Regions from separate parts of the Mus musculus genome. Here regions 2, 3, 4, 5, 6 and 7 are each reported to be linked to region 1. The links are microRNA targets in miRTarBase. Many come from high-throughput screens and were not tested one by one. Region 1 holds a microRNA gene; each other region holds the end of a gene's coding sequence.
What was found. Region 1 holds the annotated microRNA mmu-miR-3089-5p (UGAGUUCAGGGACAGCGUGUCU, at 2,179-2,200, shown strand). A microRNA usually pairs through its seed, bases 2 to 8, with sites in the 3' UTR of a target mRNA and lowers its output. Matches are read on the target gene's strand: a 7mer-m8 pairs with bases 2 to 8, a 7mer-A1 pairs with bases 2 to 7 and ends in A, and an 8mer does both.

Region 2: the mRNA of Cyld is a reported target of mmu-miR-3089-5p. Seed matches in the 3' UTR shown: 8mer at 1,551-1,558.
Region 3: miRTarBase lists Rpl31 as a target of mmu-miR-3089-5p. Seed matches in the 3' UTR shown: 8mer at 3,374-3,381.
Region 4: miRTarBase lists Tox4 as a target of mmu-miR-3089-5p. Seed matches in the 3' UTR shown: 7mer-A1 at 885-891, 7mer-A1 at 914-920, 8mer at 2,728-2,735 and 7mer-A1 at 2,872-2,878.
Region 5: the mRNA of Creb1 is a reported target of mmu-miR-3089-5p. Seed matches in the 3' UTR shown: 7mer-A1 at 2,434-2,440.
Region 6: the mRNA of Dars2 is a reported target of mmu-miR-3089-5p. Seed matches in the 3' UTR shown: 7mer-A1 at 2,732-2,738 and 8mer at 2,703-2,710.
Region 7: miRTarBase lists Wdr25 as a target of mmu-miR-3089-5p. Seed matches in the 3' UTR shown: 7mer-A1 at 900-906 and 8mer at 916-923.

What each region holds. Positions count from the first base shown.
Region 1 is chr2:30,719,044-30,723,258 of GRCm38, forward strand. It overlaps Mir3089 (microRNA 3089), which reads left to right and starts at 2,167; the gene lies at 2,167-2,250. Gm14488 (a long non-coding RNA gene) reads right to left here and starts at 2,144. Exons shown (of 4, transcript XR_866106.3): 1 at 930-2,144; 2 at 663-827. Gm39782 (a long non-coding RNA gene) reads right to left here. Exons shown (of 3, transcript XR_866107.2): 2 at 4,012-4,063; 3 at 2,520-3,670.
Region 2 is chr8:88,746,384-88,750,598 of GRCm38, forward strand. It overlaps Cyld (CYLD lysine 63 deubiquitinase), which reads left to right. Exons shown (of 17, transcript NM_173369.3): 17 at 446-4,215. The coding sequence ends at 630. Among named protein-coding and RNA genes, the nearest start is that of Cyld, 51 kb to the left of the region's middle.
Region 3 is chr1:39,370,757-39,374,971 of GRCm38, reverse strand. It overlaps Rpl31 (ribosomal protein L31), which reads right to left. Exons shown (of 4, transcript NM_001252218.1): 3 at 3,906-4,018; 4 at 3,061-3,670. The coding sequence ends at 3,639. It overlaps Tbc1d8 (TBC1 domain family, member 8), which reads left to right. Exons shown (of 20, transcript NM_018775.4): 18 at 801-890; 19 at 1,148-1,245; 20 at 2,186-3,477. The coding sequence ends at 2,623. Among named protein-coding and RNA genes, the nearest start is that of Rpl31, 5.0 kb to the right of the region's middle.
Region 4 is chr14:52,292,498-52,296,712 of GRCm38, forward strand. It overlaps Tox4 (TOX high mobility group box family member 4), which reads left to right. Exons shown (of 10, transcript NM_023434.3): 9 at 23-186; 10 at 704-3,012. The coding sequence ends at 764. Mettl3 (methyltransferase like 3) reads right to left here. Exons shown (of 11, transcript NM_019721.2): 8 at 4,167-4,215; 9 at 4,019-4,084; 10 at 3,577-3,689; 11 at 2,344-2,596. The coding sequence ends at 2,485. Among named protein-coding and RNA genes, the nearest start is that of Mettl3, 11 kb to the right of the region's middle.
Region 5 is chr1:64,597,027-64,601,241 of GRCm38, reverse strand. Creb1 (cAMP responsive element binding protein 1) reads right to left here. Exons shown (of 9, transcript NM_009952.2): 9 at 1-4,008. The coding sequence ends at 3,864. Among named protein-coding and RNA genes, the nearest start is that of Mettl21a, 19 kb to the left of the region's middle.
Region 6 is chr1:161,038,047-161,042,261 of GRCm38, forward strand. It overlaps Dars2 (aspartyl-tRNA synthetase 2 (mitochondrial)), which reads right to left. Exons shown (of 17, transcript NM_172644.4): 17 at 2,555-3,884. The coding sequence ends at 3,670. Gas5 (growth arrest specific 5) reads left to right here. Exons shown (of 11, transcript NR_166052.1): 10 at 179-226; 11 at 411-493. It overlaps LOC115487640 (a small nucleolar RNA gene), which reads left to right and starts at 262; the gene lies at 262-337. Snord47 (small nucleolar RNA, C/D box 47) reads left to right here and starts at 46; the gene lies at 46-110.
Region 7 is chr12:109,026,847-109,031,061 of GRCm38, forward strand. It overlaps Wdr25 (WD repeat domain 25), which reads left to right. Exons shown (of 7, transcript NM_177602.3): 7 at 400-1,606. The coding sequence ends at 621. Among named protein-coding and RNA genes, the nearest start is that of Gm52002, 17 kb to the right of the region's middle.

The sequences.
Region 1 (4,215 bases):
CAGAGCTGGGTTAGTTAAACGTCTACTACGGGCCCAGAGCTCCGGCTCCGTGTGGCCTGGTGCCCTACAACCCTCCTGTTGTCGCTATATGCTGAACGCCACCCGGGCACGAAGCAGTTAACGCCCTTGCAGCGAGCTGGCAGAGCCGGCTGCCCGGCTTATTAGTCAGCCGGCGGGGAGGGGGCGGAGGGAAGGAGGGAGGAGGGAGGGAGGGGTTCAGTGGAGAGCCGCAGAAAGCTATTCTCAGGGGCTCCCGTGTGTGGGGAGGGCGGCTCAGCGGGAACTGCCGCTTCCCAGAAAGTTGATTATTTTTAACCCAGGAAGAAGAAAGGAAGGAGGCCCAGGGAGGACTCAGAGAAGACGAGGAAAAGAGAGGAGAGGAGAGAAAAAGAGGAGAGGAGAGGCGAGAACAAGGAGAGGAGAGGAGAGAGAGGAGAGGAGAGGAGAGGAGAGGAGAGGAGAGGAGAGGAGAGGAGAGGAGAGGAGAGGAGAGGAGAGGAGAGGAGAGGAGAGGAGAGGGATAGATATTTGGAGGGAAAGGACAGGCAGGGCAGGGAGGAAGGAAGATGAGGCTTAGATATCCCACAGCAAGGGTTGGGGAACGCTCTGGGCCAATTCTGGAGGAGGAATAGATGTGGGGTACCCACCCCTGCTGGACCTACCATCCTCCTGTCCTTGTGGACTGGCCTAGTTGCATGGGGGCTTGAGGGAGGAACTGGGCACAAGGCAGTTCCAGCTCCTGGGAGTGCTCTCAGGTCAGTGGGCAGCACAATGGCACAGCCTTGTTCTGGCCTTCACGGTGACTCCTGGGAGTCTGCATGGAGGCCCTGGGAAAGAGGACAAAGAGGTTGCCTTGGTGCTTGGGCCGAGAGGGATTCACTTACGGGGGGGGGGGGGGGGGGGGTGTGGGCCCAAGTCACTTCTCCTACCTCTAGGTGGTGTCAGGCTGGGAAGGCACCTCAGAAGCAGGAGCTGGGTTCACAGAGTGAGACAAGCCAGAGACAGCTGGCCCACAGGGCTCGCAGGCGTGGCGAGCCATAAAAAATGCATTGGGTGCCCCCAAGAAGGCTGAAATATCAGGGACTTAGGCAGACTGGCTGTGTGTGTGATCTCAGCAGGGGTCAGAAGTGTCCTAGAGAAGGGTGCATGAGGATCTACTGGGATGACTAACTCAACTAATGCGAAGCCAGGGAAGACAGGACTGGCAGTCTTCAGGCCTCAGATCCAAGTGGTCTATCAATTCCTGCCTCTGGAAGGTTTGGCAGGCTTTTATGGAGCAGAGAGAACAGGTCTCCAAAGCTCCCAGAGGCTAGGAACTGGGGGCTGAACTCAAGCTTGGTTTGTGCCATGGTGGAAGACCAGCCTAGTGCAGATGCGGGAGGAATCAGAAAGCTGTCTGGGCTGGCTATGTGACAGGGAGGGCTGGTGCTGTTCAGGAGGCAGGGGACAACTCACAGGAGCAGGCTGGCAGCTTCGCATATTTGAGGGTCTGGTAGAGATGGCTCAGAGCGCCAGGTGAAAGGAAGACCCAGTGGGGAGGGCTGAGGGAGCTGCAGTGGCATTGCAGAATATGCTAGAATCCTGGTGGACCGGCTGATCCCGGTGGGTCTGCAGTATAGGCAGGGGAATCAGGTTTGTTATGGTAATGGTGCAGAGGGAGAGAGGAGGGTTCTGTTCCTATAATTGAGTACTGGGAGACACAGCAGACAAGACAGTGTGTGGCCAGCAGGGCTGAGCCTCGGGCAGGCCAGGCCGATGCCTGGAGCCTGGGAAGGTCCTGGGGACAGATCAAGAGGCCTCGGGTGTGATGTAAGGGCAGGTATGCATGTTTCTTGCTCTGAGGGCCTTGTCTCTAATTGAGAAGGATTGAGAGGGACCCAGCTACCCCTACCCAGTCACTCTGGAGCCCTGACCAGCTTCAGGCCTTTCCCCAGCAGTAGGTTGGGACTGCTCATTACCTCCACAGGATGTAGAAGGTGCCCACCCACCAAGTCACTCCCCACCCGGCCCCCAACCCCAACTGCTGGCAAGAGGAGAGCAGAGTTGAGCACACAGTAGGTCCTTTCCATGAGCCTAAGCTAGTGGGTAGAGTTAGAGCTACAGACTGGGCTGAGAGCAGAGCCCCTGCCCAGATGCCCTGGAACAGGGAGATAAGGGGAACAGCTGGTGGCTTGCAACTGAGTTCAGGGACAGCGTGTCTCAGTTTCTCTGTCTGAGCATCTGCTGATCCTGAGCTGTGTTTTTAGCTGCAGAAACCCAGGGCCTTGAGGCTCCACCCCTACACTCTGAGCACCACTGCTGCCAACGCCAAGGGGGTCTCGGGAATGGCAACTGAGAGGAGGGGGAAGGTTCTAGGACACATATGGAATCCAAAGTGCTCATCTTCCAGCTCTGAAGGGCCTGCCACGGCTAATAACAGTCTTCCAGCCAGGCAGTGATGGCACACACCTTTAATCCCAGCACTCAAGAGGCAGAGGCAGGAGGGTCTCTATGAGTTCAAGGTCAGCCTGGTTTACAGAGTTAGTTCCAAGACAGCCAGGGCTGCACAGAGAAACCCTGTCCTGGCGGGGGAGGGTGGGCTTCCCATCAAAGCTATGCTGGCCCTGCCCTCTCACCTCCTCCCAAGGGTGAGAAGAATAAGGCCCAGATCTAAAGGACAGACCTGAAGCCACCCCACGGCTGACTGTGTTCTCTGAGCCCCCACCCCTAACCCTATCTACAAAGTGCCTGGCTCCTTGGAAGCAGAGGAGGGTAGGTGTCAGGCTGTCATTCCGTGACCCAAGGCTCCCCATCAGTATGACAAGGGTGTAGGCTAGAGCCCTCTAAAGTGGACAAGACCCAGACTTCCCAGCATCCACTCTGAGAAGCCTAGCTCAGAAGAGTTGGCCAGGGCCCCAGAGCTGCACCTCCTGCTCTGTCCCCATCAGGCATCTCTGAGCTGTGAGGAGCTGTCCCCTCAACAGTGCCTGTGGAACACAAAGAGGGGGGGAGCCCAAGCAGAGAAAGAGCCGCGGGCTGCAGGCGGGCAGGCAGGCTCAGAGCGGCTCTGCTCCGCTTTCTTCTTCCTCCCTCTCTCTTTGTTAAGCTCCTTTTCAGCTGCACAGGCAGAGCCTGGGTGTTCCGAGCTGACAATAATTGCTGCGTCTAGACAGTGTCTGGTAGGAGGCCTCCTTCTCTGTGCCTGCCGGCCTCCCCGAGGCTCCCAGGCCTGGCCCACAGCCCCTGCCCGGCACCCTCAGAGGGTTCCCACACCCCTGCCTCTCTGTGGATGCCATGCCCACCCCCCACCCCCCAGTCTTTCTGCCTCCTAATTCAGTTGGGAGTACAGCTCTGTCCTCCTACCCTTGGGTCCAAAGGCACCCCAGTCTGTTCTATTTTGTGGCCTAAAGTTCAGAAACAAGACACTGTCCAAGAAGCACTGGTAATGCCAGAGGCCTCTGAAGGAGCCAGAGCTCAGCGTAAGGCAGGTGGCTGTGCTGCATAGGCCAGGGAAGCTGCCTTGCTGGGTGAGCTAAGCCTGGACCCTCAGGGTTCAATTCTAAAATTTGATCTAGGTTCTTCTAGAGTTTTCCAACCCAAAGCCCAACAAAAAGACACAGGAATCAGTGTAAGGAAGACCAAGCATTTCCCAGACCACTTTAGGCTGATGGGGATCCGTGTTTTCAGGAGGCTGGGGAAGGAGAACAAGAAACAAACATTAGGAGTTCTGAGATCTGTGCTCAACTCAGCCCTGAAGCTCTGGAAAATTCCCCAGAGTCTCCTAGAGGGTGTTGGGGCAGGCACTCAGGGTGCCACAGACAGCAACAATAACAACCAGAATCTGCTCAGCCCTGGCCCGCTCTGAGCGCAGAGCAGAGCCGACTCTGCTTGCATCTTAATGTGCTTAACCCCCTCTAGGAGAGGGCCCTGGGAGACAAGGGGAGCTGGAAAAATCCAAACGAGCCTCTGATTAAGACCTTTTTTTGTTTTTATTTTTATTTTGTCTTTTGTGAGTGAGGGGGTGGTACGTACCTGTTCGTGTGGGGGTTTGCATGTAGGAGGGTCCGTGTGCACAGATGCAAGCCTGTGGAAGCCAGAGACAGAGGTCAGAGTCTTCCTCTATCACGCTCAGCGTGTGTTTGAGAAAGGGCCTCTCATTCAACCCAGAGCTCACTAATTCAGCTAGGCTGGCCAGCAAGCTCCCGGGATCTGCTTGTCTGCCTCCCCAGCCCCAGG
Region 2 (4,215 bases), not on the chromosome of region 1:
TTTCTGCTGATCAGTGCATAAACAGCGCATGTAGAGGTGTGCAAGTATGTCCTTAAAACATAGGAAAACAGCAATGGGCATTACTAGGTGTTTCAAAAACTGAGCAAAATTTTTGTGGAAAAGAATGTCAGGCTGTTAGTGTATGGGAGGGACTTGCAGGTATGAGGAATCAAGACTGTGCACACAGTGGGTAGCAGCCTGCAAATCAGGCCTATCTTAAATATGTGTTCTTTCACCAGTTTTATTCACCTTTGCCTGTGGAACCCTCTCAGAAGCCAAGGAGACTATAATTCTAGAAACTGGAAGTCAAACAAAGGTTTTCTTCCAATTCTCAGAGTCAGTACTCATTAAATTCTAGGATAGTAGAATTGTTCAGGTAGGACAGGATGCCAGAAGGACTTAGACATTCACTTCCCTAAATAGATTTCACTGCCCCTTTCTCTAGGTGGTCAGAATGGCTTCAACATTCCACAAGTGACGCCCTGCCCAGAAGTGGGAGAGTACTTGAAGATGTCTCTGGAGGACCTGCACTCTTTGGATTCCAGAAGGATTCAAGGCTGTGCGCGCAGACTTCTTTGCGATGCATACATGTGCATGTACCAGAGTCCAACCATGAGCCTGTACAAATAACCAGGTTATCCGCAGTGGGCAGAGACAGCACAAACCTTAGTGCTGTGTCTTCCTCCAGCTTGTGGTTCTGTCCGGCACCCATTGCCGGCAATGGGTGTCTCTTTTGATGATGGCCCTTCAGCAAAGGATTCCTGTGTTTCCAAACAAATTGCTTTTGTGTTCCTGAAGTATTTAATAAGAAGCATTTTGCACTCTAGGAAGTATGTTTGTGTTGATTTTTTAAGAAGTCTAAATGGATTTATTAATATCTGACACTTTAAGTTAACTGCATTGATGATACGATATTTTTGGAAGCATACAATTTTAATTGTGACGTCTAAAACCTCTTTTAGTCCATTGAGGATGTAAATAAATATTTCTTCTTATGGACCAGGGATATGAAATCATTTTCCTTTTGTAGCTAATGATTGCCTTGAGAAAGACATAATATGATTTTATTAAGAGTCTGCCTTTACTCCAATTGTTGAAGGTGTGCTGAGTTTAATTGTTAATTTTCCTATATAGTGCTGATTTCCTGCATGTCTGTACTTTGCTGAGTTTCTGTGTTCCTGCAGCAGTGGTCAGAACATGCTGAAATTCCTTTCATGGTGTTATTTTTTATTTGTTCTAGTTTTGAGATAAATGAGTGACTCTGTCATAAAATGTCCATTTTTGATTTGTTCTTGAAGAATTAGGGTACAAAACAAGTATCGTAGTCATAGTAACAACTGTTACTGAACAGGTCTTCTGTAGGGGCTCCTAAGTATGAGACAACATGCAGTGGTTTCTGAAATGACTGAGCGATAAGTAAATTATATATTCTTTTTTTAAAAGATTTATTTTATTTATATGAGTACACTGTAGCTGTCTTCAGACACACCAGAAGAGGGCATCAGATCTTATTACAGATGGTTGTGAGCCACCATGTGGTTGCTGGGAATTGAACTCAGGACCTTTGGAAGGGCAGTCAGTGCTCTTAACTGCTGAGCTATCTCTCTAGCCCCAAATTATATATTCTTATACAGACCCACAGTCCAGAGAAAGTGAAGCTGGCTCAGAGTTAGCACCAACATTTCCCTGAAAAAATGTGTTAGGTGTTTAAAAATCTCATCGTAAATAAATTATTTTATTTTTAGTTTAAGTGAATTTCTCTTAATTTAAATAAGACTAATATTTTTGTTTGACTGAAGACCCTTGTACTCTCTGGTGTCAGTTTGGTGTCACTTGAAACAATGACAACCACGTCAGCATGTTACTGCAATGTCAGTGATGGTTTCAAAGGAGAAAATGGATGTCATCTTAGGACTGCTTGTGTGTGTATAGACCGTGGTGGATGCTGTAGAGTGCTTGTTGTCTGAGTGTTGTTTTGTGGTATGGCTGTCTCTCTGAATAATGTCAACCTTACAGAAAGAGAAGGTGTTATATGTGTAACATATGGCTTTATAAAAGATTTAATGTCAAAAGAGTCTATAAATATTGCTGTTATTTTTAAAGGCACTTTACTCCTTGGTTTTATTATTCCATTTTGCTGGCGTGTATTAGCTTTATATAAATCACAACACACAAAACTCGTCCATCTTGTAATCTTTGTACTTTTGCAATGGAAAAGTGTGTATACTGTGCACAGACTTTTATATAGCTGAGTGCCTAGACTGGGTGGAGAGGCCATGAGTAGATAGCAGTAAAGTCCTCCAGCTATAGGCTAGCCTTGTCTTCATCATCCTGGGACAGGTGAGAACGGTGAGCACAGGTGAGTCTGAGCTTGCACACTGACCAGAATTCAGTCACCCTGTAATAAGTATGTATTTAATGAGTCTGTTAGTGTGGTAGTGTGATTTTGAAAGGTTTAACTAAGGAATGGTGAGGTCTTTGTTTATAGGCAAGCCTGGCTTAACAGTGAAGGGGAGGGGGCTGAGGGAAAGCTTTTTTTTTTTTTAATTTCAGAAATGGAAGCAAAATCCATGTGCAAAGAGACTAGCTACTTGGCTTTCAGAGCAGAGGACTCAAAGCTTGTTTGCAGTGGTTCTGAAGTTGGGGTGGCACTTTGTGAGTGAGGAGGACCATGTCCACAGGCAATCCCTAAGCAAGATCGTCTCGAAATTGCACTGTGTTCTTTAGCAGTAGTGGCTGGGTAGGGGCACACAGCGGAACACCCACTTGCAGTGGCTGGGGAGGCCTGAGAAGCACAGGCCAGCGGGAGCTCTCTCCCATGCCTTCTTGTCCCTCTGGACAGCCCCTCCTCATTCCTTGTCCCAGCAGAGCCTGGTTTGCCCCTGGGGCAATAGGGTTGGACTGTGTGGTGCAGATAGCCCTCGTGCCTGTGGATTACTTTAATTTTGTAATCTTAGGTTTTCTGTACGGTTTTCCCATTGCCTTTTAAAATATTTTGAGTGTCCTTCTCCTTATCAAGATGGTAGTGTAGTAGGATTGTTTTACTCACAACATGGTTTAGGAGCCATAGCTACAAATAGGAAATATAAGAATTCTATTTCTCTACTGTGAGGCAAATCTGTATATATGTATGGAGAGTCAGGAGGATGAACAAGGGAGAGGAAAGGGGCCCAGGCACATTTTTAATCCAAAAGCTACAAAGTGTCGAGCTCCTCAGGGCCAGCTTCACAGAGAGTCCAGCTCAGTTCACAAAGTATTTTCTAAGTTGGGGAAATGCATTGAGAAACAGAGCGAGATATCTGTGTAGTGCAGCTGTGGGTGGTTGCTATGCATTTTATCCTCAGAGTAGCCTGGGGTTTTTATTTTATGTTTGCCAAGTGCTTAGGTAAATGGCCGGGCTCCTCTTACCTCTGACTTCTGGAGCGTGTCCATTCTCTGGTTGACTGAATGTGGCATTTTCATAAATCTAGGAGCAGCAGCCCTCCCAACTGCAATTTAGTAAGCAGGTAGATAAGCTTGCATCTGTTTGCATCTTCCTGCACTGAGTTGGGAGTGCAAAACCCCGTACTTGGCCTGGTGAGTAACTGCCAACAAGTATTTATGGGTCATTTGCTAGGTGGCTAGCATACGGCACGGGGCTAATGAGACCTGGGGCCTGCTCTCATATAGCTTACTGCTCAGTTTCTATACCAGAGCATCCGTTGGTGCTTCTTAGCCTAGGCATGGGTGACAGGCATGTCTGGGGACCACTTTGGGAGACAACCTAGTGTAACCTTATTGCAAAGGACTAAGAGACAAAAATCCTGGGTTCTTTCTCCATCACTTGCTCTGTAGCTGAATGAACACCACCTCGATTTCTTGAGTTTCAGTGTCTTGTTCTGTCTGATGAAAGGGTTGGATATGTAGTTGGATAAGCGGTACAAATTGTTAGGGTTCCAGGCCATGCCTGATACATCTGAGTTTTTGCTGGAGGTAGGAAATTTCAACTCAGAAGCTCATCCACAGAAAACAGTGACCAGCAGCAGGTATGGAGCCATAAGGCTGGAAGGCTTCAAAGACCCCTTCTTCTGTTACTGTTATCCACGGCAGTTATTCTGTGTAGGTGTGAAGGAGTGGCTACTGACTCTGTGTGGATCAGCGTTTACATATGACCTGATGGGAGTGCATCTGGTATGTGTTCCTCCCCCCTGTATTGCTGGAGAGATTGGCAATCGT
Region 3 (4,215 bases), not on the chromosome of region 1:
AATTTCCTCCTTCAACCACACTGCTGACCCCTTTTTCTGTTACTGGCTTTTCCCAGGCCAGAGTGAATTAACCAGCTTGTCTGTGTGCTTAATTAAATCTCTCATCATCTTTTGCCAGAAAGCGTGAAGCACTTAGGATCTATTAAGATATTTTAAGTTTTAACACATTAAACAAATGTGTATCATACATGTGTACCATATATGTGATAATATTCCCATCACCCTCAACCCGTTGCCTTTTCTTCTGGTGACCAAGCGACCACAGCTCTACAGAAGCAAGACACCTGACCATTAAGAAAATGTTTCTTCTGCACCTAGCAACCGTAACTGCCCACAGACCTGTGGAAGGGGCAGGATACCTGCCCTTCTCTCCTAATGAGTGTACAGTCCTACCTGATCAGATAAAGCCTAGCATCACAGATGATCGCAGGACAGAAATGACAATACTGTATATAGTGAGGGGTAGATGTGGAAATGAGATGGACGCAGGGATGAGATATGGTAGAAAAGGAGCAAGAACACAGACAGAGCCAGGGAGGCTATTTCTGAGAGGAAAAGAGCAAGGCATGCCAGAATCTGGTGGAATTCTAGGACAGCCAGGGCTTTGTGAAGAGTTTCAATCCTACCAATTTACACATCTAAACACACTGTGCTCACTGTGAACTGCAAGTATTTTTTTTTCAGGTCAGCTATCAGCTGTGTCTGTGTATGAATTTGAGATATGTGTGGGTCCATAAAGCATTTAGCTTTACACGTGTAAACTTTACAATTGTGTCCAATTTAAGCATTTTCCTTTTAAGCACTCACTGAAAATGACAGAGATAGCCAGTCACCATTGAAGAATCCTCTGTTGTCAACTTCAAGACCCCTGGTCCTGGGCAAACCCAATGGTGAGCATGTTTCCACTACTGGCTCTTAGCAACCTATCCCTCTCCCTTACCAGTGCGGCTTCCCAGTTCTCTGCAGCTTTCATCCTTTTCTAGGGTCCTCTTTTACCAGGAAGGCCCTAGAAGTCTGACAGATAGTCAGTTGTAAAAAAAAGTAACCTCTTGGTTTTATATGCAATTTGCTTAGTGTGGCATCCTGTTCTCTTACTATCCCAATTTTAATTTTCATAGAATTTAAACTGTTGTTTCCCTTTGCCAAGGTGACACAATTGACTATCAGAAACAGCTGAAACAGATGATTAAGGATTTAGCCAAAGAAAAGGATAAAATGGAGAAAGAGTTGCCCAAAATGAGTCAGGTATGGCATCTTGACTTCCCACAACACTGCTGTGTTCCAGTCACCTCTTTGTAACAGGAGGCTGCAAACAAGGCAGCCTCCCACACCTCTGACCTCGTTAGTGCTACACAAGTGCCACAGGGAAACAGGTTTCGTGTGAAAAGGCTCTTCTTGCTAATGCATGAGAAATTGCGAGTGGTCCTGTGTGACTTCAGTGACTTAAAAACTATGTGTGGTCAAGGCATGAAGGCCAACAGGTGTCCTTCGACCTTCAACTCAGTCTGAACATGAAGCCAGGTATAGTTCCTGGTCTTCCCAGGCTTTCACATGTGTTGATAGTTATGTCACCCAGAACTATCTGTACAATTTTTAAAGTTCCTGTCAAGTATTAGCTTATTCTTTTGCTGCCATAAAAGTTGTGGGCGTTTCACCTAAACCACTGAACAGTGTGGCACTTTTTTCTCTCCACTCTACCTACGGGTCTCCTAAGCACTGGGAAGCACTCCTAAGCTACATGCCCAGTTTTTACTATCCTCAAGGCCTGCATCTCATGAGCTGACATTTACCACCCAAAGTTAGCACGGAAACCCTCTTGATCAAAATGCTTGGGCTAGAAGGTGGCGCAAGCCTTTAATCCCAGCACTTGGGAGGCAGAGGCAGGCAGATTTCTGAGTTCAAGGCCAGCCTGGTCTACAAAGTGAGTTCCAGTACAGCCAGGGCTACACAGAAAAACCGTTTCGAAAAACCAAAACCAAACAAACAAAAAACCCTTTCTAAATATGCTGCTTGTGGGACACAACTATCACCCAGTGTTTACTGGAGAGGCAGGAAGATCATGGATTATAACAGTCTCAGAACTGTTTCCCATGGCACAAAGATTAAGCAGCATACACTTTTCTGATAGTGTAACATATCTCCACCCTCATGCTGTTTGTTGTCTGTGGCCTTCTTTTAATTCTAGAGAGAATTTATCCAGTTCTGTAAAACTCTGTACAGTATGTTCCATGAAGATCCAGAGGAAAATGACCTGTATCAAGCCATTGCCACAGTAACCACTCTGCTACTGCAGATTGGAGAAGTGGGCCAGCGAGGTAGCAGTTCAGGAAGCTGCTCCCAAGAATGTGAGGAGCCGCAGGCCTCGGCTCCTCCCGAACAGGACTCAGTTTTTGCTGAGGCTGGAAAGAGTCCCCAGGCCTTCCCCGAGACTGAAGGGGACTGGACTGTGTCCCTTGAACATATTTTGGCATCCCTTCTCACTGAGCAGTCACTGGTGAATTTTTTTGAAAAGCCACTCAACATTAAATCCAAACTTGAAAACGCCAAGCTCAATCAGTACAGTCTCAAAGTTTTGGAAATGAGCCACCCACCACAGGCAGAACTGAAGCTCAATGACCTGTAGGCCCTGAGCTGCTGGAGAACACACTGGAGCCGACCACACCAAAGCAAGAGCTGTCAGCCTACAACCAGGGAGCTCCACCACCTCAGTCACAGCTGCAGGTCTGACGCATTTCTATTTATTAAGAGGACAGGTGAGTGGTGGGACGCCCTGTTTACATACACTGTGACTATCAACTTTGCTGAGACCAGTGTTTCTGTTGTGATCCTGATAGTGAGTCTGCCCTTTGATGAAGAAAAAGATGCCACCGTAACTAAGAGACACCAACCCCAGGCTCATGTTTCCACTGGTCAGAAACAAGAGATCCCAGAACCATTGCCTGTACAACTGTATTTGGCTTTTTTTTGCACTAATTTTGTTTCAATGCTGGTAATTGAAACCATTTAATATATCTCGTATTCACTTTATATGCCCTTACAAAAACATGTTCAAACCATGCCTTTAATGTTTGTCCTCAAGGTTTTTAATAAAAATCGTTCTTTTGTACTGACTTTTTTAAAATGTCATTTTGAGGGCAGACACATCCCAGAGATGAGCTACTGGTTGGCAAAGATGGCTGGAAAGGCAGAGTTGATGTCCCAGGTCCAATTCCTGGGACCCACACAACATAAGTTAATTCAGTACGTTTAAGTTATAACCTCAATCTTTACCTAATCTTAGGCTCACACATAAACCTGGAACTGAAAATGAGAGCTTACAAACAAGCTGGGCATTTAATTGCCAATACTAGGGAGGAAAAGGCAGGTGGATTTCTGAGTTCAAGGCCACCCTATTCTATAGAACAAGCAGTGCCACAAGAAACCCTGTTTCAAAACCAACCCAAATCCACAATCCTAATAAAGTGACTTCTGTGAAAAGAATGTTTCACGTATTTCTAATTTCCCATGTACCCAGAACAGAGATTCTCAGATTAATTTCCAACACCCTGTAGACCCAAAAATTCCACCCATGAGGCAGACAACAGAAAGGAAAACCAAACCCTGAAGGCAGTTCTGCAACTTTATTTGACACGAGCAGGTTAGTTCTCATCCACGTTGACCGTCTGTAGATCTGGAAGGAGAGTAACAGCCAGTCAGCACCCACGCATCCTGCCCCAGCTGGAGGCCACTGCACAACCCATGGCCTGTGCCGCCCTTCCCAGCAACCTCTGTACTATCTTCCCCCAGCCAGTTAGTTTTTAAGGAACATCTGATAATTTAACCTGCTGCTTACCTCTTCACTGAACATAGTTAAGACACACATCATCTCACATACAATAACTCCTGCGGAACGCTGGGATACTTACTTTTGAATGTGGTAACAGGCACGTAAGTTACCAGCGTGTAGAGCTTGTTTGGGGAATCCTCATCCTCATTACGTTTTCTGGACAAGCGTACTCGGATGCGATATGGAACGTTCCTAATAAAAATGTGTTGCTAAGGTCAATGCTTCCGTCAGAAACAAGGCAGTTTCTCACATCTATCCCTGTTCCTTGTGTTCTGGCAAACAAGCCTCTATGACCTTGAAAACACCCAGGTGAATGAGCAACAGGCCAGTCTCAGGATGTGTCAGGCCTGTTAGGATGTCAAGGCAGTCACCAACAGTAACCAATTATT
Region 4 (4,215 bases), not on the chromosome of region 1:
TTGTATTGCTCCCTGTTTTAAGGTGGAGTCTCCTTCTCAGATGGATGTTGAATTGGTGAGTGGCTCCCCTGTGGCACTGTCACCTCAGCCTCGATGTGTGAGGTCTGGTTGTGAGAACCCTCCTGTTGTCAGTAAGGACTGGGACAACGAGTACTGCAGCAATGAGTGTGTGGTGAAGCACTGCAGGTGAGTTTAACAGTCCTTATAAATCAAGAGGTAGTGAAGTGAAACTGTTGGGGAGCATGGTACCCGTACCCGTGTGGACTGAGCATGACCTTATTAGGCAGAGCCACTTGACATGTGTGGGTGGGTAGGTATCTGATTAGAGATGCTCCTAGATGTTCAATTGCTTAGAGATGAGGATGTAGCTCAACTGACAACTGCTTGCCTGGCATGGGTAAGGTCCTGATTTCAATTACCAGTGTCAAAGAATTTGGTGAGGGATAGGTAAGGGGGAAAGTAGCAGAGTAAATGCTAAGTGTAGAGAAGGTGAGTAGTAAGTGAAAACTTTGCCCTTCTACCAAAATATCCCAGGGAATTACCTATATCCGTGAAAGGGCATATGTGTCCTCTACGAGGTGGATTGGCACAGTCTACCACATCTGACTTTTAGGCTACTTGATGATGTTATACTTTGGAGATGTAGGGAAATATTTGGGTATGGTTTTGCTATAATAAGTTTGTATGTATCTTTCTCTCTTAGGGATGTATTCTTGGCCTGGGTGGCCTCTAGAAATCCAAACTCTGTGGTGTTTGTGAAGTAGCCTTCGTCTTCTCCAAGCCTTGAAGATTCATCTGCTGAACACGAGTCCAAAAGCCTGTTTTTTTGTTTTGTTTTGTTGGTTTTCCAGACAGGGTTTCTCTATGTAGCCCTGGCTGTCCTGGAACTCATTTTGTAGACCAGGCTGGCCTCGAACTCAGAAATCCACCTGCTCTGCCTCCCAAGTGCTGGGATTAAAGGCGTGCGCCACCACCGCCCGGCCAAAAGCCTGTTTTTTAAACACAAACTGGGCTTCTGTAGTGCCTGACCTTTACCCATAGTCCTTCATGCCTCCATCTCCCTTTTCTTTCTTCAGCAGAGGCCAGACTATGTAGCAGGGCCAGCAAATTCACTGTAATTTAGAATTGCTTTTTACTCTCAACTGTAAGCAAAATTACCAGCTTACTAGCAAGCACAGGGAAGAGTGATGGGAGCAAATCATAGGGGTCATTAGAAGAAACATACCAGTAAAACGGTCAGACAACTTGCCTAGAATGTCATTGGGCGAGTGCTTTGCTTTGTTCTCGGCAGAAAAAGCTCTGGGAGAAGAGAGACTTAGGGTTTCAGCTCAGTGGTAAAGTGCACTGGGTTTAAATCCCAAGTGAAGGAGGAATGAAAATACTGATTTAAAATAAAATGTGTGATAGCCCTTTAAAAGGGAACTATTATTGATATACACAGTGCTATTAGGAGGAAGGTTTGAAGGCCTGGGGTTATGGCTTAGCACTATAAAGCTCTGAGTTCAGACCCCAGGCTGGAAGATCAGGAGTTCAAGGTCATCCTTGGCCCACTAGTGAGTTTGAGAACAGTCTAAGATGCATGAGGTAAAGGTTTTACAGAACATGGTGGCCCGTGCCTTTAATCCTAATACTTTGGAAGTAGACAGGAAGATTTTTGATCTGAACTTAAATCAGACTTTGTCTCAAAAAATAGACCGGGTGTGGTGGCACTCCCCTTTAATCCTACAACTTAGGAGGCAAGAGGCAGGTTGGATCTCTGAGCTTGAAGTTAGCCAGGATTACCTAGTGAGATCCTATCTTAAGGTCCCCCTCCCTGCTCCTGACAAAAACACACAAATTCTGTTTGTCTCAGTCTTAGCACATTGGGCTAGAGGGGAAACGACATCATCCAAAACGATCTTTTTCTGTACAAGTATTTCTTTACCTGACTTGGTTACCAGTTTTGCATGTAAGAAGCAGAACTCTATACCCCTAATAAGAGGTTTTACAAAGTAAAGAATCTGTGTTTGATGAAACATCTTTTAAATGTGCATTCATTTACATAATGCATAGGCCAATTTTTTATATTCTAAGCTCTAATTTTAATTGAAGGTACCTTGTTTTTCTTAGAAATTAGCTACAGACTAATAAACCAGCAAACGTACATAGAATAAGCAAAAGTTTAGAGTACCATATGCATGGTAAAATTCAAATTAATCCTGTTTATAGCATATTAATTGCTAAGCACTGTGAACCTGTGTAGTCTTTTCTAACACGCTAGGTAGCTAACATTCTTCTTTTACTTATAATGAATCACGCTAAATAAGAGTAGCACAAGGACACACACTAAGTGGAAAGCCATAATTTCACTTCAGAAATTCCAATTATAATACAAACTTTTATTTATTTATATACAGGGTAGGGGACACTATTGCGTAAACAGTCCTCTTAAGGTGTGGCCTGTAGCCCATGGCTCTGAACGCTTAGCTTTGTAAGGAAGTGCGTCTATAAATTCTTAGGTTTAGAGATGATGCCGTCCGGATACCTTTGCTTAAACCTGGCAACCACATCTGGGTCTAGTAGGTGTATCCCATCCAGTTGGTTTCCAAGAGTAATCCTAAAACAAGGGGGAAAGAAGAGGCAAACCAAAAATCCTGTAAGGGCTTAATACTTAAAATGTTCTACTTTCTGGTGATACCTATCTCAGGCTGTCCTGGAACTAACTCTCCATGTAGACCAGGCTAACCTTGAACTCAGAGATCTACTTGCCTCTGCCTCCCAAGTGCTGAGGCTAAAGGTGTGCTCTACTATGCCCAGTCCACGTCAATTTTTTTGGTTTGGTTTGGTTTGGTTTTTGAGACAGGGTTTCTTTGTATAGCCCCGGCTGACCTGGAACTCACTTTGTAGACCAGGCTGGCTTCAGAAATCCACCTGCCTATGCCTCCTGAGTGCTGGGATTAAAGGCATGCGCCACCACGCCCGGCCTACATCAACTTTTAAAAAGATCAGAGCAAATAATATGGCAGTGTCAATACAAAAACTGATTGGATTTTAATTTCTTTGGTGGTCCTAAGAGTTGAACCTAGGCACCTTACATATACACTCTTAAACTCTTAACACTACCAGCCCCCCTCCCCTTTTGAGACCTCTAAATAAGCATTGGCAGGCCTTAAGCTTGCAATCCTCCTGCTTCAGTCTCATGCCCCAAGATCCAGCCGGATCTGTCTATCTAAGGATTAGTAATTGATGGTAGCCAGGCCTACTTCATTCAGTCACTGCTAGTGAATAGTCCTTGGATAATTAAAATGCTCACCATTGGCATCAAACATTAAAACTGACAGATTGAATAAATACTTAGTAGCCACTAGGGGGCAGATTTAATATAGCCCACAGAATAGCTGACGATCCTTGGGCAGTTAGAGCTTTAAGAACAGCCCTTTGGGTTCTAATGAATGTTGTAGATTCTGGTAAAGCTTAAGCCATCTAGACTACCAGAATGTATACAACTCAGTGACATCTGTCTTTGTCCATAAAGGGTTTTTTGGGGGAGGGACGGGCAGGAGGTAGGGAGGCAAGAGCCTGTTCTCTTAATGTTACCAGTTGGGCTGCACATTGTGTGGTCGTCCAAATAACTCAATCTTGCGGGTGCCAGGGGACAGTCTCTCAATCATGCCATATATTTCATCTGGTTTATGACTGGTGGAACGAACCTAGAAAATAAAAACTCAAGCTACTTTAAGTTATTCAAGATTGCTTAATAGATAGAGAAATGGCTCACAGTTATGAGCACTGGTTGTTTTTCCAGAGGACCTGGCTTCAATTCCCAAGACCTACAGCTCATGACACCCTCAAAAAGACATACATGCAGGCAAAATACTGATACACATGAAATAAAAATAAATTTTTAAAAAGTTACTCAAGATTGCAATTCTAGTCTGGTCTGTGTTACCCAAATGAGGAAAAAAAAAAAAAAAAAATGGAGACTGACAGGAGTATTGAGTGAAAGTCTGAAAGCTTTAGATGCACAGGGGACACATACCTCAGCTACAATCACATCGCAGTCCAGGCCCTGGTTGAATCCTTGAGGATTTCCCTTAACACCAACCTGCTCATCACAGAGAACACTGTTTACACAACCACAGCCTTCAGTCTCCTAAGCAGCTCCCCCTCTTCCTCCTGTTCCTCACCAAGCAGTGTTCCTTCCCGTGGTTTAACCAGTGACCCGTCCGGCCCGTC
Region 5 (4,215 bases), not on the chromosome of region 1:
ATAGAACTAAAGTTGGAGGATGAAATTTAAAATTATAAGTACTTATTTTTCCTTCACTATTAGTCAAACCTAATTCCCAGATATTTAGCTTTTATAACATGCTTAAGGCTAGCTATGATACTGTGATCAATGAAACGCTTCCATTAAGGAGTCATGATTTGAAGGAGGAAGACAAAAGGGTCAGCTGAGAACTCATTGATAAGGAATTTCCCAAGTTGCTGATACCCAAACTGGGTCCTTAAAAAAAAGTGCAAGTTACAGCAAACCTTTACAAAGAACTACTGTAAATACAACCTCAAGTCAACATACAGCCTGTGTACTGGGCCCCGGGATGCTGTGCCAATCCAGAGTTTCAGTGTTACAAAGGCAGAACAAAAGCCTCTGGAAGGAACTGAAAATGAAGCAGCTATTGGTAGAGAAACCGATTTGTGTTACTAGCTGACGAGTCAACAGAGAACCAAAGCTTCCTAAACAGGAAAGGCAACATTTTGACTGAAGTCACTTCAAGTACGTAAAAGCATTCCGGGTTATATAAATGTTTGTTTCTAAGCCCCAATATTTGTATGATTCCATGTCACCCTAAATGGTCGAAAATAGTAGGGAGGAGTCCTGAGAGGCAGAGACCGGCTTCAGCCAAGAGGGCTTCTGGCTGGACAGCCTGCCTGACTGGTTTGTGCTTTAGACAGTAGCACTGCTTGCTGGCCTACCATCAAAACACATCTTGACAAAAATCCCTGTTCAAATGAAACATGAAAAGTCTTTGCCCAAAATGATTCTTGAAACAATTCTCTTAAAACCTTTTTTCAAAATGTTCTTACCAATTTTATAGCTGCCAGAAACAAAGCAGGGGGAAAAGAGCTTGGGGTTTAGGAGTTTTTAAGTGACTGGTAACATACTCAAAAGCATCAAGCCAAACAAAACAAAAACCTAATAAAAAACTGGAAGAAAAGAGAAAACCCAGTTGTGAGTGCTGGAGTAAAACAGTCACTGAAACACCAGAAGAGATGCAGGAGAAAGCACAGCAAAGTGGAATCTCACCGGACCTCAATACGCTATAATACTCAGCATTCCTGACATACCAGCTCTCAGAGCATTTAGATGATATACTGTATGTATGTATATATGTACACATATATTACAAAATGCCACGTCCCCACCCACACTATACCATCTAAACAAGCACAGCACCTAGGACAATATGATGGTTGCTAATATGGTACTTGCTTTTGATAAAGAACTTAAATTGTATCTCATATCAATTTTTTAAATATGAACATATTGGATCTAGCCCTTTCTAAACCATTTTTCAGTTAAACACTATCAAAGCTTGAAAACTCAGAAGAGTAATATATCAAAAATAAACCTATCCCCATTTCATTTTTATTAGAGTTAATCTGCCCTATAGATAAAAGTGCCACTATATATATGCAAAGTGAGCAGTACCAAACTTCTATTCTCTAGGCAAATCAGTAGCATATGTACAGATTCCTATGACAGTTCCATTCCCTTTTGGCCAACATGAAGAGAAAACATTACCGATAATGTGGCCACATACAATTTTGGATATAAGAGTTTTTAAAAAATTATGTCATTTTCTTAATAAAGATTCTCCACATAGCTCAAAAACAAGTTTTTGTTTTTGTTTTTCTCATTCTCATGTTAAAAAAAAAATCCAGCTTGCATTAAAGAGGCTTTGATTTCTTTCTGTATGAACTGAAATTTCAAAGTCAGGTTTCACAACACCATATATTTCTCACATTATCAAGTAACTGGTGTCAAACTAGTACAGTCATGCTCCAAGCATAAAGACCCAGGCCTCTGTAAATTAATATCCATCCAACTAGGAAGTATGGCTGAGACTGCCTTGGTCTCTAAAGGGTTAAGGAGACCACCTGTTTCCTCATTATGTAGAAAACCTCGACTTTTGAAGATAGACACTTAGAGATTACAACTTCTGCACGCTAGGCAAATTTTCCACTTGTGACATTTAAAATGTTCAATCTGACATTCTGACTTAATGTGAAGTAATTCCAGTTTGTTGACAGATTTGTGATTCTGCTTCCTTTTTGTTTCACCACGTTTAGCAAATGATACATCTACTTGCTAGCACAGACAGCTTTTATGCTATCTCCTTCCCAGCAAGCTCAGCAGGACAAAGATCAAACTTTAGCCGTTTGAAAGCCTTCTGGAGAATCTGGTGAACTGTCCAGACAGAAGGATTATTACATCACTCAACTCCTAGAATCATGTCCTTCACAAACTGTTCATCCTTGAAAAAAGACAATGGTTTGTTATAAACAACGTAGAACATTTACAGATAGCAACCTAGTCTTAGCTTAGAAATGGGCCAAACAGTTCCCGCTCATACGTATACTGATATTAATATTAACTTTCTTAATATCCCAAAGCAAATATAAGACACTCTTCTGAGTCTGAGTTCTTCCTCAAACGTGAAGTAACCTAACATGCCAGCCTCCACTGTCCTCATATTTGTCTTTTAAAGAGGTAACTCTTAGATTTTATTAGGTTTAATAAAAAAAAAATGAGTTATTACTAAGTCTTATCAGAAACAATGTTACACATAAATGTAGACTATAGGTAAGGATGTAAGTAGAAACATCTTCAGAAACAGAACAGCTTTTGGATAGTTAAAGCAGTACCACCTTTTTTAGGAGAAAAAAAAAAGTGTTTGCCAAATATTGTACCATAGCACACACTCCAATGTCTGAAGGAAATTACTTTTCTTGTGTGCATTTAACACAATGTTTTAGAATCACATCCTTGTAACTTCTTTGATTTAAAAAAAAAAATCCCAAGAGATTCTCTGATAAAAATATGACTATAGAAAAGGTTGTCTATTTAGTACTTTCCATCACTTTGGCTGGACATCTTGAAAACGCTCCTGTTGGCTGCACAGTGTAAATGCAGCAGTGGACTAGGTAAATGAGTGACAGTATGAGGATTCGGAAAGCAAGGACAAAAGTCTTTATTTATTAAACACCTTATTGTATAACTCAAGGAGTTAGCTTCCTGGCCAGCACCTACTCATTAAGACTTAGTACTCACCAGAATAAGCTTTATAGTATGATTTTAACTTAACTCAAAATTCAAAACCATGCTTTCCATTCAGTTGGTTACTTCTGTTAATGTATTCAAACTGCTGAACACACAGAACTGAATGAAGAAGCAACAACTGCCCTACAGAGGAACTGTAGCCAATACCGTGCTTCTCAGCACCAAGGACAACTTGTCAGTGCTGAAGAAAGGAACATACATATAAAGTTTACTCCCAACACCACACTAATATCCTTATTTAAAGGATGTTTTTAATAGTTCGACATAATTCACAATGAAAGTGTAAAAACATTAATTTGGCAGTCAACACTTCTTCATTGCACCTTCCTTACTTTCCTGTGTGGCCCACACATTACGTCAGCTCAGCAGGCTGGGTAACTGTCCCTAAGGCAATCATGGAGCTCAACAAACCTTGAAGTCATTAATAAGAAAACAAACAAAACAAACCTAAAACAAAAATAAGAAAGCCAAGATTTCATTTTCCTCATTTCCCCCAACAATTTACAAATAAGCAAATGATTACTTCTTGAGGGTGGTGGAGACGGAGGGCAGAAGTCTCTTCATGATTCCTGGCGCTGCACATTTCTTGAGGGCAGAAGTGGAAGTAGTTTTTGGAACATTCACAGTTTAATGCAAAAGCAGAAATGAATGAAATTCTGTAGTTGCTTTCAGGCAGTTTTGCGCATAGAAAAAAAGAAATGTTTAGAAAATAAATGTTTACTTGTCTTTCTGGTTGTGGCCAAGCCAGTCCATTCTCCACCGTAACAGGAGAGAACTTAAATCCCAAATTAATCTGATTTGTGGCAGTAAAGGTCCTTAAGTGCTTTTAGCTCCTCAATCAATGTTTTGTTTTGGTTTTCAAGCACTGCCACTCTGTTCTCTAAACATTTCACATATTCTTTCTTCTTTCTACGACATTCTCTTGCTGCCTCCCTAAAAATGAAAAACACAAAAAAATTTATGTTCATAAACTCCATTCCACTAATTTTAGAACAGAATGTTTTCTAGAGAAACAGCTGAAATAAGCAAACGTTCAGTATTATACAAGAAATGCTCAGGAAATGATACTGGCATTGCCTGATGCGGCAGCACACTGGTAATGCCCCTTGCTGCTAAGCTGGACAATCTGAGCGCAGCCCC
Region 6 (4,215 bases), not on the chromosome of region 1:
TCACTTGTTTTTGTACAGATTGTAATATAGCTTGTAACCAGTGATGTGATGATTCTGCCAAATGATACAAAGTGATATCACCTTTAAACCGTTCCATTTTATTTCTGAGGTTACTATACTAACATGTAAAATTTAACTACTCTAAGCCAGAGAAGTAAGTCAGTCTTTGTTTTCTTAGGGCTCCTGTGACAAGTGGACATGCAGTGACTGCACCTTTGTTTCTGAGGTGAGAACTGCAAATGCTTAACCGGGAACCTACTCCAGAATACATGATGATCTCACACAACTTGAACTCTCTCACTGATTACTTGATGATAGTAAAAGATCTGATGTTCTGTGTTTTAACAGTTACCATTTAAGTTAAAATTGTAGAAAAGTGTTTAACAGCTACCTTCTGTTGGTTGTTGCAGGTGCCTGGATGGAGGCTCAAATAGAAGATGGTGTCAGATATATTGTGTTAAAATTTTACCATTAAAGTGTATTATAACATGAACTGTGAAGTGTGCATTTTGTTCTGATGAGCACATTGTGGGGAGTTCACATTAGACATTTTTAAATCTATTAGCTGCCCAGTGACTGGATGGTATTGGTGTCAGTATAGTTTGTCTTTTTGTGCTTATAAGCACAAGCCATTATTTTTTTTTAAGATTTTTTTATTTATTATATGTAAGTACACTGTAGCTGTCTTCAGACACTCCAGAAGAGGGCATCAGATCTTGTTACAAATGGTTGTGAGCCACCATGTGGTTGCTGGGATTTGAACTCTGGACCTTCGGAAGAGCAGTTAGTACATCTCTCCAGCCCTAGAACACTTTTCTTATATCTTATAAAACTAAATATTTCATGGAGTATGCAAAGGGGAGTACAGTCACAAATCAGTTTGCCTGGAAATAGTTTTTTTTTCTCTTTCCTTTCTCAACACAATCTAAGATGAACCAAAAGAGAAGTGTGCTCTTACACACTGAGCCATCTCACCAGCCTCAAGCCATTATTCTGTTTGACATTTTAAATTAATAGGAACAGCGTTAACCAGAACTGGACTGACTGGTGGAGGTGGTATTTTCACTTTTGGCAGGTGACAGTGTCTGCTGAGTCTTACATCCTGAATGTCTAATCAGTTATGCAGTCTGAGTGGGTATACCAGCCCTTTAAAGGTCTGGAGATGGCCTGTAGGGGCACAGGTGTGAGGGAAAATTTGAAGTATAAACCTGGAAGGTAAAAGCCTAGACCTTGCAGTCCTGTTAAAGTGTTGTCCCCATGCCTAGGACTTTTGCAGTTATATATACCACCAGGCCTAACTCAGCATTCCTAAATTAGGAGGAACACTGAGGCTAATTGGCTCTTAGGTTTGATACTGTTCACTCTGGTCTGTTGGGCTCAGTTCTTGAGACCACGGAAACTACAATCCTTAATCTAACAAGTACAGTTTGGGATTCGTGCTGGGTGTGGTGGCCCCAAAGGAAAAGTTGAGGCTATTTTGTTTAGTCCTTTGGCTGTAGATAGTATAGGTAACTGGTCAGGGGTCCTTAGAACACTGGTTCCAGGCAAAATGTGTAGGTATTTGGAGCTGTACCTCTACAAGCTTTAGTCCCTGGGAATGGGGGCAGTGTTTCAATGCTCAACAGTTACCCTGGAACACATAGCTAAACATCTCATTTGGTGATTTATATTCTACACATAGTCTTACTGAAATGGATTTAAATTCCATCACATTCTTGGGTTGTGAGGATTTAAATTTTTCACATGCTAGTCACATACCTTTACTGTTAGTGGTCCATTTGTATGGTAATGCATGTGAAGAGGTCAGGATGACCTACACAAGTCTTCCTTTCACAATGTGGAATCCAGCTATCCAGTCATCTTGCCTGGCTGGTCTCTTGGAGGCAGGTTGCCTTGATGGGATTTCCATGTAGATCAGGCTGGTCTCAAACTTGGATCTGCCTAGGATCAAAGGTCTGTGCTTACTAGGACCAGCTGGGAGTTACTGGTCTGTTTTAAGACACCCATGGTTCCTTCTTCCAGAACACAAGGTCAGGGTTTCATTCACTGGATCTCTACAGTCACGCCCTTAGCTCAGATCTACCAGCCTCTGATCAAGTAGGGAGTCATCTGCCTCCTTCCACTTCAGCACCCTTAGCACTGCCTCATTAGGCCTTTAGATTGTGTATGATACTGGTGATTGAACCACTGAGCTGTGTACAACTGTCCTTCCAGGTCTCAGCTGCTTTGCCATCCTCCGAGGAATCGCCTAGTCCTGCAGTGAGTTTGTGTGTAGGGGATAGGGGGCAGAGAAGCCTTAGGGTGTTAAGGGGAGTGGTTTCCCCTTTCAGAGAAGGAATAGATGTTAGGGGTGGGAGGGGGTGCTGATAAACTCATTTGAATGTTTACTACTAGAGTGACATTTTTTAGAAAGGATTAGGTTTGTGACTGGAGGCTTTAAAACTGTCAAGAACCCATGCCTTTAGTCCCAGCACCAGGGAGGCAGAAGCAGCAGATCCCCAGAAGTTTGAGGCCAGCTTGGTCTACAGGAAAGAGTTCAGGACATGCAGGGCTACACAGAGAAACTGATTTTTGAAAGCCTTTAAGTAAGCAAGTTTCAGGGCTACAGAGAGTAATCCTGTCTTGAAAAACCATAAACAAGAACCACAGGCAGTGGTGGCACATGCTAATCCCAGCACTTAGGAGGCAGAGGCAGGCGGATTTGAGTTCAAGGCCAGTCTGGTCTACAGAGTGAGTTCCAGGACAGTCAGGGCTACACAGAAAAACCCTGTCTCGAAAACAGGCAAACAAAAAAAAACCATAAAAAAGAGCCCATGCCAGGAAAACTGTCTTGAAAAGCCATAAGAAAGCAAATAATTCTGTGCCAGGCCCAGTCTTCCAGCAACAGCAGGTCAGGATGTAGAACTCTCAGCTACTTCTATATCATGTCTGTGTTTGCCACCATGCTTACAGCTAAAACTATAAACCAGCACCAACTAAATGCTTTATAAAGAGTTGCTTTGGTTGTGGTGTCTCCTCACAGCAATAGAACAGTGGTTAGGACAGCTGCATTTCAGTCCTGTTTTACAGTATTTCAAATCACATATCTGCCACAAATGTAACCTCATGATTCTGGCAACAAGAGATCTGTGAGACAGCCAGGACAAGTGTCATTCACATTATATAAGCAGCTGGGGCAGCTAAGAGACATTTGTAGCTTGCTTAAGGTACAACACAATAGAATTCTGTTACTTGTAATTTTTTTTTTTGATCCTACTATACTACTTAGAACATTATATTGATGGCTGAAAGATTACCACAAAGTTTAATTTATGGTTCTAATGAGGCTAGATGAACTGAAACCTTGCTGCATTAACTGGCCAGTGTACAGAGGCAACCATGTTGTATTATCCTTATTCTAAATAACTTATCTGGGTATAGAAACATGCTTGGAAAACAGGAAGACTCTAAATACTCAATAAAGAGATTTTTTTGTTTGTTTGTTTCATTTGACAATTTTCCAATTAAAAAACTTCCACAGACAGTCCTAATGGTACACATGACCAAGTCACAATTGTGTAGCTTCTCTTTCTTACTCGGTAATGATTGCTTCTACACAGACATTTGGTTCTAAAGTCTGTGGCAGGTCTGGATCTTAATTTAAGTTTGGTGAAGCAGAGAAGACAAAAGTTAAGAGCTCAAGTGTTTGGAAGGTGTGGCGGATGCACTCTCCTCTTCTGAGTCTGCTGGCCACAAGACGTGGATATGGTAAGGCTTCAGCTCTTCTGGAGACACGGAGTCTGGAGCATTGCTCATAAGGTCCTGTCCTCGGTAGGATTTAGGGAAGGCTATGACATCTCTGATGCTGGGTGCTCCCGTGACAAGACATACCAGTCTGTCTAACCCTGTGATGTAAAATACAAAGTGAACATGATGAGAAATGTATAGCTTTTAGCTCTGAAAATAACTTTTTTGGGGGTGCGGAGGGTGTCAAGACAGGGTTTAGTCCTGGGTTGTCATGGAACTCACTCTGTAGACCAGGCTAGCCTTGAATGCAGAGATCCACTTGCCTCTGCCTCCTGAATCCTGGGACTAAAGGCTTGTGCCACCACCACTACCATTACTGATCTGATGGGCCTTTTTTTTTTTTTTCTTTCTTTTGAGACTCTGCAGCTCTGGCTGGCCTAGAACTTTGAGAGATATCCCTGAAAGCTGGGATTAAAGACATGCACCACT
Region 7 (4,215 bases), not on the chromosome of region 1:
GAGTCACTGCCTTTGTGGCACCAGACCCCAGCTCTGCAGAAACTGCCTCACCTGGGTCCCATTCCCAGGACACTGTGGCTAGCGGCTGCCATCTGTGAAGATCACACTGCACAGTCAAGCTACATACTGTGTTTTAAGAAGTGTGCACTTGGTGCTGGGCATTCATAACTGTACTGGAGACCTGCAGCCCATGTGTCACAGGACTGCTGGGGCTGGTGGCCTTGGGACACCAGGTCACACCTCCACGGTTAGGCACACAGCAGGAGCATAGCTTCTCACCTCAGGGTCACTAAAGATAAAGCCAGCCCTGGGCTTAGCAGCTTCCTAGCCTCAGCTCATCCTTTGCAGCGTGGGGTGAATCATGATCCCTCACAGGTAGCCTGCTGTCTCTCTCCACAGGTGGAAGGCTACGCGGTGGGCTGTGAGTGTTCCCCATGTGGTGACCTGCTGGTGACAGGCAGCGCTGATGGCCGGGTTTTGATGTTCAGTTTCCGCACGGCCAGCCGAGCGTGCACACTACAAGGGCACACGCAGGCCTGCCTTGGCACCACCTACCATCCTGTGCTGCCTTCTGTCCTCGGGACCTGCTCCTGGGGAGGAGACATCAAGATCTGGCACTAACTGGCAACTGAGACCCTGCCCCTGGGTAGGCGGCCGGAGGTTAGGCTGCTCCCGAGAGCTGCTGGGCTTCAGTGACTCGGCTATAGCATGGGGGTGAGAAGCCGTCTCGGCGCAAGCGTGTGTTAGTAAAGGTGTTTGCCGAGTGACTGGTGGGTGACACGCAATCAGTAAGCGTGTGCTCTGTATGGTTTGGTTGGTTGATTGGTCTTTTACTTGTTTGTTTGTTTTGTTTCTGGTTTTTCAAGACAGGGTTTCTCTGTGTAGCCCTGGTGGTCCTGGAACTCAGGCTGGCCTTGAACTCAGGGACCCACCTGCCTCTGCCTCCTGAGTGCTGAGATGAAAGGTGTGTGCCACCACGCCTGGTGTGGTTTTTCTTAATGTGATTTTGGCAATGAACACATATTAGCAGTGTCTTCCTGCCTTCTTACTGCAGATAGGGGAGCTTGAGATGGGACTGTCACCTGCTGGTCCTTCGGACAGTGAGGCTCTGGGGCTTGTGACTGCCCAGGAGCTCAGTGCACCTCAGCGCCCCCCACCACCACCCCACTATAAGACACCAACAACTGTGTTTCTTCCTACCCACCTCTGGTCCTCTAACTTGCTGCCTGCCCACTGCCAGGTGGGTGGTCTGTGGTGGGCAAAGCTATGCATCTGTCCTGAAGGAGTGCGAGGAGAAGCAGGGACTCAGAAGCACATAGAAGGAAGTGTGGCATGTAGGGAGTGGAACTGTTGGAAAGGATGACGAGGATTAGGAGGCGTGGCCTTGTGGGAGGAAGTGTGTCACTGGGGGTGGGCTTTGAGGTTTCAGAAGCTCACACCAGGTCCAGTGGATCTCTCTCCACCTTCAGATGAGGATGTAGAACTCTTAGCTACTGCTCCAGCGCCATGCCCGCACTCTGCCATGCTTCCTCCCACCATGATGATAATCTGAATGATGAACCTCTGAAACTGTAAACCCGCTTCAATTAAATGCTTTTTAAAATAAGACTTGCCGTGGTCATGGTGTTTCTTCACAGCAGTAGAACAGGGACGAAGACAGGAAGCCTAGCTCCCTAGGGGCCTGGAGCAGGCCTATGAGTCTCAAACACTATCAGACTTGTGACTAGGATGCCCGACGGCCCAGGGACTCACTCACAGGTTGGGGTGGGTATCGTGGTACTTAAAAGAGGTAGGGAGGGGAGGGGGGGGGAGGAGGAAGGAGGGGAGGAGGTCTGGGATGTGGCAGAGTGGTGTATGGCTTCACCCCTAACCCATTCTGCGATCTGGTCCCGGGCATGACCTGCCCCTTCCCTCCCTGCCCCAGCTCTTCATCTGTGAGGTCAGGGAAGCAGCCTGCGTGTGTGTTGGGATCTGGAAGAGTGTTGGTCATACTGAGTCTTAGGGCCAGAAGTGGCCCAGGGATGCTGTGTTAGGATATTTATTTTAGTGTCCAAGGCATTGAAGGGTACCACCATCTGGGGAAGCAGGTCAGGGCCTTGGGTTGGGCCTTGCCCCAAGGCTCCTGTGTCCTTGCTGCCACAATAGGCCAGTCCCCTCCTCCCCCGGCTGATGGCTGCCTCCTCTGTGCTCAGGTGCCACGGGGCCAATGTGCTTGTCACCCTGAGGACAAGCTACTGTCTCTTCCCCACGAGCATACAGGGAGATGCTCATTCAGGGAGCCACAGGGGTGTAACTCCTTCTCCCTCAAGCAGCATGTCCCACCCTGTGCTGTCCTGTGTGACACTCGGCAAGATCCCTGGGCAGGACTTTGTGTCCCGCCATGTCCCTGGAACATAACTGTCCAACGAATGACTTCTGCTGGGACCCAGGCTTTAGAACCAGTCAGGCACAGATCTGAAGTCTGCCTGAAGTATTGCATGACTTTGGGCAAGCTTTGTGGTTTACTCAGTGTCTCAGTCCCCCTAACCCCCACAACCCCCCTGGAGAGTAGCACGGGGCCCATGTTCATTGGGTCTTCGGGTTACTTGGATCTGTGTGGCTACCTTGTGATACTGAGCCTGTTCAGGCTGGGTACCTGGCCAGATTCGCTCTAGGCTTTGCTGTGGTGGGCCACGGGCTGGTGGGACCCTCTCCTACTGTTGACTCTTGCTTTCAGGGTCTTAGCACGGGCCAGATTTAATCTCGGTAGAGGCTGCTGGCAGGAGCTGCCTCCTTCCTTCCCACTTGAAAAACCTCATGGTGAGCTTCAGAGTGGCTGCCGTCTGCCTCATACTAGACTAGGACTCCTTGCCCAGGAAGATGGAGAGCTATGATCAGTAGCTCTCACCGTGAACCAGAGGACTGATGTGATCCTCAAAGAACTCAGGGCCCCTCGTAGCATCTTCATGAGTGTCTCCCCGAGTGCAGGCCTGAATGAGTGAGAATACAGAAGCAGGGGGGCCAGCCTTCTCCAGCCTCTCCCGCTGGCTGTCCCTCCCACTCCTGCGGCTGCCATCCAGGGTTTCTACCGTCCCCAGGATATCTTCTACCGCCTGCAGTGATCGGCTCTGCTCACTAGGCTTTCCCAGAAGGGCTAGCAGGTAGCTATCTATAGAGGGGTTCTCTGTCTACCTCTGTACCCAGCCCTCTCCTGCCAGTGTCCCTGGGACAACAGGACCATAGAGCCCTGATTAGACTCTGGGCCTACCTCCTGGTGGTATAGGATTGGCTTCTTACATGAGAAAGCTTTTGCTTTCTCATGTACACAGTGAGCCTGTTGGGACAGTGAGGGTAGGGAAAGAGCTCTTCCGACTGTCTCCTGGATGGTGCTGCCAGGATAGACGGATACCAGGATAGACAGATCTGAATCTCTATGCTGACTCAGGTCCAGGGGAACAGTCATGGCTTTCTAGTGGTCCCATTGTGGTTGCTTCCTGGTGCCATCCCTAGGGTCTGGTTTCTTTCTGCAGGGGTTGGTGCATTGTGCCCCTGTATCTACCCCTAGCTGGCTTCCTGGGCAGGAGGACAGGCATGCGTGTCCCATGTTTCCCTGCTTCTTCAAATGCCTCTTCCAAAGAACATTCAGCAAGACTGACTTTGATCCTAGCCGAGGTGCCGGGGAGTTCACCATTTGCAATTTAAAAATAGGCAAAGCTAAATTTGGCAAGCACGGAGAAAGATGAACCTGGAGTGTGGGTTCTCCCTCCACCCGCCCTCCCCGGCCCAACTCACCCCATCCCACTTTCACATCTGCAATCTGCAGCATCAAAGCAGAGGGATCCTGGGAGCAGAGCTGCCTTGTCTAGAGATGCCTGTACACGTTGGACCCACTCCTGTCTTGCTCTCCGAGTCAGGTTGTGACTTTCATCTGAGTTGTACTAACACACATCCCCCGACCCCCACCCCCACCCCCGCAGGGTGGCCATGGCCCTCCGTGTCTTGCTGAGGAGGCTCCTTCTTAAAGGGCACAGAGGCATGGCAGGACCACCTGTCCCTGAAGCCTGCATCCTTGATTCCTTTCACTGTCTCCCAAATGGCTCTCCATACTCCACCAACCCAGCTGGACTCCATACAGGAGGTTGCCAACCATCTAGAAGGCCCAGGAAAGGGCCAGTGTCCTCTGGATAGAAAGAAAGGGGGAAATTAGCCCTGCCTCTGGTGATAGCCAACCAGTGG